2 linked regions of the Neurospora crassa OR74A genome follow. The main gene of each other region encodes a partner of the protein of the gene in region 2 in a complex. Links are inferred from orthologs where the notes say so. Each region holds a gene or a part of one and is shown on either strand. Other genes may lie near its edges.

Region 1 (3,230 bases), on a different chromosome or scaffold from region 2:
GAAAAGTGATGCAGGTAAACATAATACAGCTCATTTATTCATTTCTTGCGTTTAAGGCTTCTACCGAATAAAGGTGTAGAATAGTCTACTCCGTGTCTCTTATCTCCATGATGTCACTGATTTTCTTTTTCCCTTCTTTTCTCTACTTCTATCACTTGGACACCCACAATTCCCTTTCAATTGTGCGTTCGATCCTGCCACTCACACTCACACCCCTACAACTGATATTCACTATGGATGAACTTGTAGCAATCAGCATCGTTAACCATTCATTGTTTGTCTTTCAACTTTCTCACTCATCCCGCACGTATAGCCCTTTGTTGTTTCAGTTATTGCTGCAGCCACAGCCCATTGTTTTGACCCCACATGATCATGATCAGACGAAGTTTTGTGATGACTGGTTATAGTAGAAGACAATATAACTATCAAATTTGATGTAATGTTTGAACAGCGATGTGAAGTTAATTTTGTAGAGGACAGAGGAAGTTGATGAAAACGTGTCAGTCATGCGCCGAGGCAGGTTACTTTGAGTGTCTTGGGAGTTGCCCCTGGAGGTTAGGCTGCAGACCTATGCAATGCCAAGTAGTCGGCACATCTTTCTTGTATTGGCGAAGCATGAAGTTGGTCTAAGACTGCCAGAATCGGATATACGAGTTTGGCGAGTTTGTACCGACGGCGACACTGTCGTAGGAGTCCTCCGTGATTTCATCAAATCGGTTCAGAAGAACTGGGAAGACCAACAGTTAGCTCAACACACAATGGATTTAACCAAGCGTCATTATACACAGAGACCATCAACCATGACAACCAGTGTAACGATACCCAGCTAGGATACGTGTAATACCTATCGTATATTCTATAAGCTACGTGCTTCCTCGTGATATCCACGTATGGAACTACCGTCCTCGTGATGTGCCTCCATTGCGGCCATGTATCCAAGGTTCATGTTCGGAGGGGTTCAACAAGGGATGTAAGTCACCGGCGTGGTGAAAAAGGGCATAGAGAATGAGGGTAACATTGATTTGTGAACCGGGCAATCCAACGGCAAATGATGCTGTCTCTAGACCAAAGCACACCGGGAAGCAAAGTAAAGGGGACTTCACTTTCATACGGCTGCAGGTGGCACCTAAGTCCAGACCCCAACAGCACAGTCCCATCGTCCCTTCTGTCGTAGCAAGCCCTCCCCCTCTTCAGCCAACGTGACCCTAAGGATATAAACCCAGCAGAAACAACATGATGCACAGCCCACCAACCCGCTCATTGATCCAGTAATCGTGTATGAATCCCAAAACGCCCACAACGTCTAAAGCAAAACGATAGAGAGGATATGATTACGCAGTCTCGAAGTCGCCGAAGGTGTTCTCGCCCGAGTATGTGATGTAGAGGAAACTGTGGTAGTAGTCACGTTAGTCTGGGTTACAGTTGGAAAAAAAAATGATGGGGGATGGAGGCTGCCACGTACCCATCCTCATCCTTGTGCTCCTCGTAGATGCTGCTCATGAGAGCAGCGGTTGGAGGAAGGACCTCATCTACGAAGATGAAGATGGCCTTCTCGGGCGACAGCTTGATGCGCTTGCGGATGACGTAAACGAACTGGCCCACGGTGAGGTCCGCCGGTACGAGGTACTTCTTCTTATCGATGGTAGCGATATCACTCTTCTCGACCTTTTCGCAGATAACCTGTGGCGACATGTGTTAGTTAGGGATAAGGGCGGTGACTGCGGGATCGTCCGGATGGGGGATGCTTACGGGAATACGGTCGGAGTACTTTTGGCGAATACGCTCGGCCTCAGCCTTGCGCTTCTCGAAGGGGTGCTCGTCCTTGAACTTGGATCTCATTTTGGCGGTTTGGGTTGATAATGTGGAAGATGCGGTGATAGGTGTTTGGCTTTGAGATTGACTACAAGCGTGGATACGATGGATGGATAAGACGATGTCTGCGATAGACGGAATCCGGTGTTAGTCGGAAGAAGCGGCTATTGAAAGGGAGATGGACCATGGATGGCTTCCACAAGGAGCAGAATCAGTGTTGGCCGGCTGGAAATGCAGAACATACCTTGATGACTGGCGTGTGATGAAATGAGGAAGCTGGGGAGAGATGTCAGAGGTAAGAAACGGCAAGAGGATGAAGAGGGGGAAGAAGGGTTGATGTACCTCTTTGACCATCGATGTAAGGTATGTTAGTAGGTAGGTTGCCAGGCAGTGTTGCCTATCGGCCGCGTCCAGTTGGCGCCTGCCCGCCTGTCTGCGCAGCACGGGTCAAAGGCCCTGGACGGGCACGCCAGGACAACCTGAACACTAAGCGGGTGACCAGCAGGCGGAGGCGGGGCTGACCAGATGACTAAAGCGAGAGTCGATCCTCGATTGGGCTTAGCTCGCTCCCAGTCGGTGAATCAGATGGGTCACTGGCCGTCGCTCACATGGTCAAGCTTAACAGGTCACTGCCTTTTCAGTGGCATTCCAGGGGCATTTCAAGGCGAAGGCGTGCCCGGCACTCAGCTAGGAGCGGTACCTGAACGGTACCTCTTGGCCATCAGTGGGGCGGCGTGGAGGTATGTACCTAGCAATGACGCAGCACTAGGTCCGTATCCGCCTCCTATCTCTCGTTCCATGTACACTACTGTAGTACACATTACCAAGTCCTAGGTTGATGATACCTTCCACTTGTATCAGCGGCACATGGACAAGACAAAAGGATGGCCCGAAGAAGGGCGCATTGTAAACCTCCTTTCCGTTCCAAGGGCAGCCTCGTGGCCGTGATCCTTTGGCTTCCCGGTTCGTTGAACGTGTGTAGACCGCATTTTACTAAGAAGGGCGTGGACGGTTCCATCGCCTTGGCCAGCGTCTCGAACTTGCACGGGCAGCTTGTTGACCGCTTTGTTCGCCTGCCGTCTACCTAGGTACCTCTACACTATTAAAGACCTACGGAGGACCAGGTCATGGATGTCACCACTGCGAAGTCGTCATTCTCTCCGCTTGTTCGCATTTGGTATATCTTATCCATGATAAGTAGTCTCCTATCGGCAATGAAGCTTTATCCTGGAGCTCCTCCCGGGCCTCCCTACAACTGAAGTCCGATCGGAGCTGACCATTTGCCCCGCCATCAATGGGACCTGGGCCCGTGTGTTTATTATCAGGTACCGTTTTCGGTGTCCGCCTAGGTGGCTTTTCCGGTCGCTCCCGGAGTGCGTGCAGCACCAAAAGTGGACATCTCGCTCCTCAGGGTCCGG
Region 2 (3,921 bases):
GCCAGCCCACTCAGCTCAGCTACATAGTCCCGACTAGCCAGCGCCGTCTTGACAAACTCCCATCCGCCCTCCTTGTATGCGTCGAGGATGGGCTTGCTGCAGGCGCTGCACTGCGGGTACGACTTGCCGCGTATAACCATGTTCTGGAAGTTGGATAGGAAACCGCGGACCTGGTGCGGGACAAGACCGAGGGGATGGTCAGGGGGATCGCGCTCGTACGAGACGGCAGAGCCGGTGCCGGTTGAGACGGGCGCGGGCGCGTGTTGCTTGAGCGGGTGCTGCAAAATGCTAGTGAGAAGCTCGACGAGGAGGGCCGAAGCGATGGCTGCCACGCCGGGACGGGTGACGGTACATTGTTGGTCGAGCGTTTGGTCTTTCATCGACTGGATTGTAGACTTGGTTAGCAGCTTTCCACAACTCGCTTTGGATGAATTAGCAGATCCTTACATCGGCAGCAACTACTACGTCGTTGCAAAAATAACATCCAAGGGTCTCTTCACTGCCGTCGTTCGGCGCCGCACCATGTCGCATGACAACGTAGGTGTCGAATCCGAGTGCCGCATTCATCACGATCTTGTTCGCAGCTTTGCCCATCAGTGTGGGCAGCCATCGGGACTCGCGCGTGTCCATGAGGAGGAAGATCGCATCGTGTGAATCGATTAACTCCTTCAGCTTGTCAAAGTCTGCTTTGGTTTTTGCCTCGTTGTGGATCGCGTGGTCCAGCATCGGAACAGAGAGTGCGTAGCCCTCTACATCAACTCCTGGATAAATTTCTTTAAGTGCCTCGGCAGCTTGAATAGCCTTCGGCTTTCCCCCATTGTGACAATCTTCAAACTTGAAGAGAGGCTGCCGTACTGGGTTTGAATAAGATACGCTCCCATAATCAATAAACGTGATCTTGCGAACTCCCCACCCTAGCAGGTTTCTCGAGACATAGCTGCCGAGTGTCCCTGCGCCCAGCAACAAGCATTTCGTATTCTTGATCGCGTCCAAGTCAAGATTCGGCGCGAGCCGCCACTTCATCAGCTTCAAGTTCAAGTCCACTGCCTGGTCTGCTAGTCGAGTGGGATCCATGTACTCTGCCAGATTCGCGACCCGTGGCCTGAGATCGCCGTTACCGTTCCTCTCCCAGCCGGTAACCTTGGGCATACACTTCAACTCCACGTCGCCAACTTGGTCCATCGCCAGTGGCAGGATGGTGCTCCGCGCTTCATGTCTCCTAGGCTGCGTGTCGCGGTAGCAGAGAATTTGGACCTTGTTGAGGCGGTATCTTTGCCGGATAAGGATGAGGAGATTACGAAGAGGCCAGGAAGGGTACTCGGGATAGTTGGATGGGTCCACGAAAGCAACATATCTGTCCTCTTCCGCCGCGTCGTTGAAGAATCCCGTCTCGAAGTCTCTGAGAGATCCAATATCCCAACGGTAGCCGATATCGACCCCGGGATCATCAAGTGAGGATCTTGGGCCTGCGGCCTCGCGACGCACTTTCTTTGCGAGGAAGAATCCGTGCTCTCTCCTGTCAACCATGTATCGCCATGTTCCTATGCGCTCGACCAAAGCAGTGCTTTCGTCCGAGGTCAACCGGCCAATCGGTCCTGTTCGCTTCCACTGCGGCTCCGAGTGTAGGGCTGGAAATGCGAACCAGTAGGTAAACTTGTACTTCTTCAGGTCGGCGTATGACAGGATCCGGAAAGAGGCAAGTAGCGATGGGCAGGAGTATATCGTGCCGTCTTGAATAGCATCCCAGATCTTTTATCCGCCCGTCAGTAAGCTTTCGTTACAGCGCAAGCACTGGCGCGACCCAAAGTGAAGCTACTGGATACGAACCTGTTCGCCCGCCTTCTTGATCATCGCATTTTTGTCCGTGTTTTTGAATTCCTCGATCGTGTTGACGTTCTTAATGTAGCCTTCGGCTCTCGTCATGCCCAAGGGCCCGCTTTCGTCCCTATCATCAGGCTTTGGTTCGTAAAGTATAAAAGCAAGCGTGCATGGGAACTTACTGGTCGCTTGTTAGGGCGCTCCCCAAGATCTGCATTCTCGTACTGGCCTCTGGACTCGCGTGCGACCGAGGTTCATATAAGCCCAAGACAGGGCGGGCCGAAGAGTCGAGCTTGTCATGGTCGAGTTTGGATGAGAAGAGGGCCGAGTAGAAGGGCAGCTCGATCTCCGAGGAGAAGGTCGCAAACTTGAGATCCATGGATGAGGGGGGCGCACAGCCGGCCGCGATGCGCACTTAGAGACTTCGGATTGGGGGAACTACTGATAATGGATGTAACGACTTTCCTGATGTTGGCATGCGTTTTCTATCCCAAGAAGTAGCGGTCGAAGAAGGCTTGAGTTGGCAGCCTGGCGCACACGGTTGGAAGCTTATTGATGTACTCTTTTTGCGACAAGGTTGACAGCAGTCCCGTCGTCTCCGGAGAGCGATCGTAAAATGAATCAAGAAGACGGGTTCACCAGAGTGTGGGCGGTGGTCAGCGGTTCTGCGTCATCTGCTGTCTTCCCTATGACCCGATCCCTTGTCACCGGACTATATACGCCGCCAGGATGCACTCGGGAACGTCTCACCGATATAGGAACCAAGTGGGCGACGATGGTCCAGAGAACACACCTTGACTGTAACTGCTGAAGCTGTGTCAATGGGTAAGGGTAGCAGCGCGGAAATGACTCCTTTCATGAGCTGAGCGAATATATACTGGACGGGTTGGAAGAGGAGCTGGAATGGCTTGGTTTGTCTGTTTGTCACACCGGGAATCACTGAAGCTTACATACTCAAGGCAGCTGTGCCCCGCATTAGGTTCTTGACCAACACCCGAAAGAGCGGCCAAGACGGGAGCGGTAACCCACTCCTGGTATGCACGATGGGTGGGAATACCCCGCCGGCAGATCCTCGGTGCGCTGATAGCGGCTGCACCCACTAAACGCGTTCCTGAAGTCGACCGACGCGTCTTGTCGGGTCAACGACAGTTATTCGCATAAATTCGACCCCATCAAGAAATCGTTGAGTACACAGTAAATATAGATTGTAGATTGTGTCTCAGATCCATGTTGTTATAGCCTTTTTTTTTTTCCTCTCTTATCACATTTCTTTCAAGAAGGGACTTGAAAGGAAACTCGCCATGTTCATCGGCATCTGCGGCAGTACATCAGCCCCTCTTGTCTTTCCATCTTCTACCCAGTTGAGTCACTTACACGCTGTCAATAGGTATTTGCGCCGGCAAGAGCACCATCGCTCAATATCTCGTTGAGCACCATGGCTTCACACGTGTATCGCTAGAGCATACAACTAAGACGATCGATGATATCGTCAGCGGAGAAACCCCAAATGATCATGTCAACGGTCTAATCCACAAGCTCTTACCCGCCTACATCACCTCTCACACCCAATCTTCCACCTCCGCGCGCTCGAAAGGCCATGTCTTCCCCTCCGCCGACGATCTCCTCGACTTCATCACTAAGCACTGGCGCGAGCGATGGGTAACAACGGACATTCCTACCGAGGGGATCCTCGACATGTACACCCGCCGGCCTTTCTTCCTGCTTATCAGCGTCGATGCTCCCCTCACTGTCCGATGGCGCCGCTTCCGTGAGCGCGGGGAAAAACAACAACGTCACCGAAACAACATGAAGTCCTACTCCTCCTCCGCCGGCGGTGCCGCTCTTGAAGCTGGAGACGAAGAACAACAAGAAGAAGAAGAAGAAGAAGAAGAACCCCTCATCTTTGAATCCTTCGCCCACCTCAACGACACGCAACTCTTCCTCCCACAAACCGGCCGGCTCCCACTGATGTCGCGCGCCACCGTCCGCCTTCTCAACACGTCGCCCTCTCTTGCGCATCTCTACGCCACGCTGGGGAATCTCGACCTGCTCAACCCGGACCGTCTCCGGCCCTCATGGGACTCGTACTTTATGGCGCTCGCC

The links.
Region 1: the proteins of NCU06672 (region 2) and atg-8 are in contact, whole or in part, in a crystal structure (PDB 3RUI), measured with the Saccharomyces cerevisiae proteins. The link is inferred for Neurospora crassa OR74A from reciprocal best matches to the Saccharomyces cerevisiae genes ATG7 and ATG8. Residues at the interface, in NP_012041.1 of Saccharomyces cerevisiae: Gly333, Thr334, Leu335, Leu436, Val437, Asp438, Ser439, Arg440, Arg443, Ala460, Ala461, Leu462, Gly463, Asp465, Ser466, Tyr467, Leu468, Tyr486, Cys488, His489, Asp490, Val491, Val492, Ala493, Thr495, Asp496, Ser497, Asp500, Met506, Thr510; in NP_009475.1 of Saccharomyces cerevisiae: Arg28, Glu37, Lys38, Lys46, Tyr49, Leu50, Pro52, Leu55, Gly58, Gln59, Val61, Tyr62, Val63, Arg65, Lys66, Arg67, Pro72, Glu73, Lys74, Ala75, Ile76, Phe77, Phe79, Asp82, Thr83, Leu84, Pro86, Thr87, Ala88, Glu112.

The regions. Positions count from the first base shown.
Region 1 is NC_026502.1:3,123,620-3,126,849, reverse strand, and holds atg-8 (autophagy protein 8), read right to left. Parts: upstream 2,176-3,230; 5' UTR 2,057-2,175; intron 1,938-2,056; 5' UTR 1,840-1,937; coding exon 1,750-1,839; intron 1,681-1,749; coding exon 1,463-1,680; intron 1,390-1,462; coding exon 1,332-1,389; 3' UTR 796-1,331; downstream 1-795.
Region 2 is NC_026505.1:4,205,449-4,209,369, forward strand, and holds the start of NCU06672 (autophagy ubiquitin-activating enzyme ApgG), read right to left. Parts: upstream 2,666-3,921; 5' UTR 2,198-2,665; coding exon 2,001-2,197; intron 1,946-2,000; coding exon 1,828-1,945; intron 1,750-1,827; coding exon 448-1,749; intron 384-447; coding exon 1-383. Other genes in the region: NCU06673 (deoxycytidylate deaminase), read left to right, coding at 3,120-3,141, 3,206-3,921. UniProt on the Saccharomyces cerevisiae protein: E1-like activating enzyme involved in the 2 ubiquitin-like systems required for cytoplasm to vacuole transport (Cvt) and autophagy. Activates ATG12 for its conjugation with ATG5 and ATG8 for its conjugation with phosphatidylethanolamine.